2 linked regions of the Xenopus tropicalis genome follow. The protein of the gene in region 1 interacts with the protein of each later gene in a biochemical or structural test. Links are inferred from orthologs where the notes say so. Each region holds a gene or a part of one and is shown in the gene's direction. Other genes may lie near its edges.

Region 1 (2,998 bases):
CATGCGCAGGGTAGGTACCATCTGTCGGGCTTCGGGGAGGTCGGAGTAGTGGCAGGAAATGGAGGAGAAGGGGTGGGAGTATATAAGCATTAGGGCAGCATTTGTTGCTAAAGATGCCCCCCTAACCCCATGACTTGTTCTGTTCTAGGTATTTCTGCATGAAGCCACAGCTCGGCTAATGGCCGGCGCTAGCCCCACGCGGACACATCAGCTGCTGGACCGCAGTTTGCGCAGGAGAGTGGCCCCATCCAGCAAAGAAGGTGAGATATATGAGAGGGCAGACCAGGACCAGATAGGAGCCACAGAAATATATATATTTAACCCATGCTCTGCCGCTGTATCCTCTAGCACTGCCCTAACCATTCTTGCTGCAAAGCCCGCTGAGCCTTCATTTCACTACTGTCTGCTTGGCGCATTAACCCCCATTCTGCTGATGCCTCCTCTGTGTATATAAGGACTGGCAGCGCTTCTCTATGGCTTTTTTTTTCTCTGACGCACACAATCTGAGAGACGGCCCAGAATGGGGTTAATGCCCGGTTCAGCATGGTGTGAGATTGTGCCGTTTCGGCCGCTACAGAAAGAGGGTGCAAGGCAATGGCAGAAGCCAGATTAGGACCCCAAAATCTCCCATATCCTTATACACATTCATGTTACACTTCCTGTATTAATAAATATATATAATATATATATATCTAATATCTATATATATATTAATTTTACAGGATAGTTTTGCATGTTCCGTGTTGCAGTATGGCACACAATATTAACCCCCATGTCAGCATTCATCTAGTATATAGTTTGGGCCCCAGTTCATTTATATCAAATTGTGGCCCCCTCCAGCTGTTGCCAACTACAGCTCCCAGAATCCTCAGCCTGCCAGCTGGGAGGTGAAGTTAACAGCAGCTGGGATTGTAACCTCCCTGACCTTCCTGGTGGCAACTTCCCGGCCCTCATACAGACGGCACAGTAGTGGGAAAGTGGCCAGTGTAAACCAGGAGATACCGAAGCTGTTTCTCTTTCGTCCACAGATATGGTACGCTTGGTCAGCTGCAGTGTTACCCTCCCGACGCTGCCTTGTCAGTAATCTCCGATTGGTTTAAAGAAAGCCCCGCCCTCTCGGGGATGCTCTCCAGTGTGCCCCTCTTACCCAGGGCCAGCAGCACCCATAGGAGACTTATCTTAAGCCATGCAGGACTGTGCCACTGAGGAGAATGAGGGGGTATTCACCCTCCATATTACCCCACCAGGGCCAGAGAAGAACGCATGGCACCACCTGACATGACACTGCTGGATTGTTTTTTTTTTACTGTCGAGCGCGACTCTATTCTCTTCAAGCATCTTTAGCTCCTAGCTTGTAGCTTATTGGCTCAGAGGATCTTTCTGACTCGTGAAAAGAAAGGGGAAAAAAGTGTAAAAAAAAAAAGAAATCGGTTGGAAAATTATTTGTATTTAAACTTTTTATTTTTCAGTTTGCTGTGTTGTCTCCATTGTTTGCCTGTTTGCCCCGTGCTGATGCACATTTCATTCATCCGCCCTATTGCCCAGTAATTATAATGGCAGCTTATTGCAGAGCAATCTGAGGGTGTGTGCTGCCCCCTAGTGTTTATACCATGTAAATGGATTTGCTCAGAGGGAATGTGCCCTATAAGCACAGCCCTCATACTGTGAGTCTTTAAAGGGTAAACAAACCCTTTTAAGAACCTTCTGCTGCCTTAGTATCATGGTTGCAATGTGTTAGTGACCTGCCAGCCTCTCTCTGTTCCCAGCAGGCACCCAAGAGATGAGCCCCACACCCCGGGAGCATGCAGAAGCCCTGCTCCTTGCCTGCCGCTACCTGCCCCCTACCTTTCTATCTGCCCCAGGGCAGAGAGTGGGCATGTTGGCCGAGGCAGCCCGTACCCTGGAGAAGCTTGGGGACAAACGGACTCTGCAGGACTGCCAGCAGATTATCCTGGCGCTGGGCAGCGGAACCACAGTAACTTCCAGCTAGGGGGGGGGGGTCCTGTTATACTTGCTATACAAAGCAAGAACATCCCCCCCCGAAGAATTATAACGAATGGCTTCAACTATAGCAATTCCATCGGGCGACTGTTCCCTGCTCCACTTCACAGGCAGATGCCCTACGATATTGCACTTTAATCTAAATGCCCCCTCTCATCACAAGGGGCAGAAACCGCTCATGGAGTCCTGCGTGGAATACGGATGCAGCAGCAGCGCCTTCCCTGTACTGAGTAACTGCCGCGCCGCTAGCGTAACTATGGGTGGGAGAAGCTGCGCTGGTTATAGGAATCGTCCTCTCAGTGTGGGAGCCTCCATAGAAAGGAGCCTTCTGGTCACACAGTATGTTGTGTGTTCATATTTTACTAAGGGAAGGTAAACTTCATTTTGCAGATTTATGTACATTTAATTTTATATTTAAATATATACAGTGACTTCTGTATTTATTTGTCTTTGTTTCCCTGTACTAAGCACAATTCAGCAGGAACAGCCCCCTCAGTTTGATCATAGCCTGTACAGAGAGATACCATAAAACTATGGCAGCATAAGGATTCCCCTGTACTAAGCACAATTCAGCAGGAACAGCCCCCTAAGTTTGCTCATAGCCTGTACAGAGAGATACCATAAAACTATGGCAGCATAGGGATTCCCCTGTACTAAGCACAATTCAGCAGGAACAGCCCCCTAAGTTTGCTCATAGCCTGTACAGAGAGATACCATAAAACTATGGCAGCATAAGGATTCCCCTGTACTAAGCACAATTCAGCAGGAACAGCCCCCTAAGTTTGCTCATAGCCTGTACAGAGAGATACCATAAAACTATGGCACATAGGGATTCCCCTGTACTAAGCACAATTCAGCAGGAACAGCCCCCTAAGTTTGCTCATAGCCTGTACAGAGAGATACCATAAAACTATGGCACATAAGGATTCCCCTGTACTAAGCACAATTCAGCAGGAACAGCCCCCTAAGTTTGCTCATAGCCTGTACAGAGAGATAC
Region 2 (4,553 bases), on another chromosome or scaffold:
CACACACAGACAGCATAGGAAAGGCAGAGTGCTGCCTCTGTGTGCAATACTCTGCTTGCCCTATGCTGCTTGTGGGAGGTGAACCTGGCAGGGGTTTGTGGGAGTTTGTTAGCAGTTGGAAATAGCCATTAAATGGTCCCTAAGGTGTGTAATTATGTACTGGGGGTTGCTCTGCTATCCACAGGGGAGGAGGAGGCATATGGAATTTAAGGGTATATCTTAATATGACATAATTCTTTCACATATGAATGATGGTTGATATCCCCACAGTAAGCACCAAGCATTTGGGATTTTGCTGTGCTACCACCATTGTGATAAAATGTGTGTGGTTTGAAGTGGGTGTGGTTTCAAAAAGGGGAGTGGTCAAAACTGGCTTCCATTAGCGGCCCTCCACCACGTATGCTAGAGAAATTCCGGCCCTCGGCACTGCAGCACTGCTCTATAGCCATTCTAGTTGTTCATATTCTGTTTTAGGGCTCTGGCACACGGGGGAGATTAGTCGCCCGCGATAAAACTCCCTGTTCGCGGGCGACTAATCTCCCCGAGTTGCCTACCCCTGCCATCCCACTCGCGAGTCTTTTTCGGCGATTCCCTGAAATTGCCCCGCTGCGTCTGCCATCCCACCGGCGACTTACATGTTCGCCGGTGGGATGGCAGGGGTAGGCAACTCGGGGAGATTAGTCGCCCGCGAACAGGGAGTTTTATCGCGGGCGACTAATCTCCCCCGTGTGCCAGAGCCCTTAGGGTGAAGACACACAGAGCTACTAGTAGCAGCTACTTGTAGTGGCTACTAAATTAGACAATGCTGATCATTTACTGATAACCGTCTCTATGTGTTTTTTTTGGCAATTCTCAGTATTGTCTATGGCAGGGGATTCTCTGGAGTTTAGTAACCTTGAAAAAGTAGCTGCTACTAGTAGCTCCATGTGTCTTTCCCCTTAGGGCAGGGACACATGGTGAGATTAGTGACAAATCTCCCTTGTCGCGGGCGACTAATCTCCCCGCAATGCCATCCCACTGGCTACAATTTAAATCGCTGGTGGGGTGGCATACAATGCGCAGCAATTTGCCAAAGTCGCCCCAAGTTTCCTCTTAAGGCAATTTCGGCAAATTACATCCACAAATGTGTTATGCACAGAGCTTCTAAAAATGATGCTTAAGCCAAATATTATTAACCTACACTGATTAATGACGCCAAAATGGTTTCAGCATCTCCCCAGTTCTTTTCCCCCTAGACATGAGACAACTTCAAGAGAAAGTTTTTACACGGACTATAAAAAATGCCCCTCTCCTTTGGCTTTTGTATCTGCTAACAGGCTTTGCGGGCTTGACAATCACCACACCAACACACCCCTGAAAATGACACTTTATTGCCGATTTCGCTTTCCAACACCCTCTCCGTTCGTTGTGGCGGTGCCAGCGCATCCCCAGGTACCATGCGAGTGGCTAGTTTGTTATTGTACACGTCACACGGCCGGGGAACCAATAGGAAACGGTGTATCACGTGGTTCGCTGCGCTCCATCGTACAGCTGATGGGCGACTCCTTCTCTGGCAGTGGGAAGATGGCGGACTCAGATCGTGTAGGTTTTCCCATTGCCGGCGCTGTGTTAGCTGTCTCAAAAGAAAATGGCGAGCCCCTTTCCAAAAGGCAGCGCTTGGAAGATACCGGCGGGGGTGGGAGCCAGCTTGTGGGGGCTGAAAGCGAGGGAAAAGCGGCATTGCCGCCTATAGCTGCTTCTCTCCAGGAGGAAGGCGAGGCCTCTTCGGCAATGGAAAGCAAATCCAGAGCGCACAATGGCTCGGGCTTTCAGGGCCTTCCTTTGGGAACGTATTTGGTACAAGGCCAGGAGGAGGGCGGAGCCGAGGAGATGCCCAATGGAGACCTGTCGGATCAGGCTGTTGATTACGGAGGTTGGTTCCCTTTAACTCTTTCCCTACTAACAGCGGCATTGGGCGGGGCATATTCTGTAGGTGTTTGGAGGTTCTTCAGTGCAGTAATGTGGGCGATTCAGCGCATCAGTGGGTATAGAGTGCTACTCCTCTCTCCCTTCCATTTGCTAATACTGACCCATACAAATGAAGGTGCTTTTGCCAAGTTTGAACATATATTCCATTTAAAAACATTAGCAATGGTATATGTGAGTGAGTTATTATTAACATTTATTTATAAAGCGCCAACATATTCCGCAGCGCTGTACAACAAGTGGGTTTCATACATTGGACATACAGAGTAACATATAAAGCAATCAATAACTGATACAACAGGTGAAGAGAGCCCTGCCCAAGAAAGCTTAAAAGTTATGCTTACACCCTATAGTTGGGCCGCTGCTCCTTTGTAGAAAAAAATGCACCAGCCCAGGGTAAAATCTTCACTTACCTTCTCTTTGGAATCCCTACAGCAGGCAAGTCAAAGAGCTTTACTCAACTACACATGTACAAACCCAGGCTGTGAATGGCTTGGATGTGGCTAAAATGTAGGCACATCACTACTTTTCTTCCCTTCAGGGCATTTTTCCCAAAAGGGAGGCTATTGCCTTCTCTTGGCCTTAACTATCTACACATAGGCTGTATAGAGCTCATTAACTGTCCTTGTACTGGTAGGATAAAGAAACTTAAGGGTCCTTCCTGAAGGAAATTTCAGCCTCCCCAAAACAGCTCCTTAACTGGCCTCTTTTAGCCCCACAAAGTTACATTTAAAAGTGTCCATGTGTGTGAACCTGCCATTAAATGCAGAGTAACGGGAGTCACAGTCATCACTTTTTGTATCCTCACTTTGCTGACACAGAGCCTGAGGGACATGCATAGTTAAAGCTGATCCCAGAGTAGCTCCAACTGCTCAGGTTCTGAAGAAGTGCAAGGAGGTTCTGTGAAGTGCAAGGATGCATCTAATACAGGATTCGGCCATTTTCAGCAAGATTCTGAAGATTGCATAAGCAAATTAGGATTCGGTTCCGTATTCGGCCGAATCTTTTGCAAAGGATTCAGGGTTTGGCCGGATCCTAAAAATTGTGGATTTGTTGCATGAAGAGGATCTGAAGAAACAGAAGATGGCACCTATGATCTCCTCTACGGTACTCTGCATTTTTATGGAGGTTTCACAACAGTGCAGGTCGACCTAAAACCTGCATAACCCAGGGGTTGCAATTTGTGGGTGGTGAGCCAAGTTCACTGCCACTCCCTGATCTGTCTCTGTGCTTTTCCAGCCTCCATACTACTGGGGCAGCACTTTAGCTGGCCATACACAGGTATTTCAGCTTCCGATTCGGGTCCTTCAGGCCTACACGACTGACAGTCTTAAATTGTCCAGATCTCGATGGGACAGGTGTGGTTTTCTGATTGGGGATGCATTGTCTGACAGCACCTATGACCAGCGGGTGAAGATCTGCTCATTTTGTGATCTTTTTTAGCATAATTGTCCATGTGGAATGGGAGCAGGGAGTTGGCTAATGGAGGCTAGTTGAGGGTGCTAGGGTTTGGGGGAATGAGTTCCCATTATCAGCACTGCACACAGGGCAGTTCCCATTGTTTTTTGCTCACAATGAGTAACAACTCAGGAGGTGTGGACGAAACATTTAAAATTTCCACTAGTGATGTGTAAATCAACTGTCCTCTGGTCAGGTGAGTTTGGGTTGCTGGTTCTGGTGGGTCCAGGTGCTGGTATTGTTATACCTACCATCATCTTTTTCTGTGAGCCTCCACCTTGGTGACGTCACTAACAGATTGAGTTCCAGGAAAAAGTGTATTTTGTGACCCCACTCATCACTCATTTACACCCTTTCACTGAGAGTGATTATTAAATTGTTACAAAATGTGTTATCTTTGCCACAAAGACAAAAATGTACTTGTGTATTGGATAGAAAACGTTGTTCTTGGTGCAGTCTTTGTTTCAGAAAATGCCTTGTTTTAAACCCCTTGGCTGAATTCTTTTACAGCGGGTATCCATCTGGATGATGATCTTGCTGGTGGCTTTCATTCTTGTGACAGTGAAGATGATGATGGTGCATCTCATGCCAGCTCAAGTGATTGGGCACCCAGGCCCTGTATAGGTAAAGATGCCTATTTTTGTTATAGGCCTAGTTGTGCCTAGTAGAAAGAAATAACCATGCTAGCAAAATCTTTAGTTTATAACAGAATTATCCTTACTATATTAGAAAAAATTAGTTTGAGTTTGATAAATTTATAGCATTCTCCTCTTACAGCCTTACCAATGGACATTAGACAATAAATACACAAATTTTTTTTATGTTGGACACTTGTGGTGACCTCCACTGAGACCTTTCTTATTAGGGCTTCATAAATTAACTGGTACAGAATCCCTGCTACAAAACATTCTGCTGATAGCTTTCTGACCATCTTGTGGTCTTGTTTTCTTGAAAGTGGTGGCTTTCTCTTTGCAACCCAGCTCTGTGCAACGTTGTACAGTGTTTTCTTAATGGTAAACTCATGATCACTGGCATTTGCTAGAGCAACAGAGGCCTTAGGTTCCTTAGACATTAGCCTGGGGTTATCCCAGAGTACTACACACCTTGTACTTTATGAGATCTATGTTGGC

The links.
Region 2: of the proteins of srebf1 (region 1) and sirt1, one has a biochemical effect on the other in vitro, tested with the Homo sapiens proteins (2 studies listed by BioGRID, with this or other methods). The link is inferred for Xenopus tropicalis from reciprocal best matches to the Homo sapiens genes SREBF1 and SIRT1.

Annotation. Positions count from the first base shown.
Region 1 is NC_030685.2:15,391,378-15,394,375, forward strand, and holds the end of srebf1 (sterol regulatory element-binding protein 1), read left to right. Parts: coding exon 1-10; intron 11-148; coding exon 149-260; intron 261-1,028; coding exon of another isoform or gene 1,029-1,084; exon of another isoform or gene 1,085-1,766; coding exon 1,767-1,990; 3' UTR 1,991-2,440; downstream 2,441-2,998.
Region 2 is NC_030683.2:38,239,649-38,244,201, forward strand, and holds the start of sirt1 (NAD-dependent protein deacetylase sirtuin-1), read left to right. Parts: upstream 1-1,563; coding exon 1,564-1,912; intron 1,913-3,933; coding exon of another isoform or gene 3,934-4,047; intron 4,048-4,553. UniProt on the Homo sapiens protein: NAD-dependent protein deacetylase that links transcriptional regulation directly to intracellular energetics and participates in the coordination of several separated cellular functions such as cell cycle, response to DNA damage, metabolism, apoptosis and autophagy.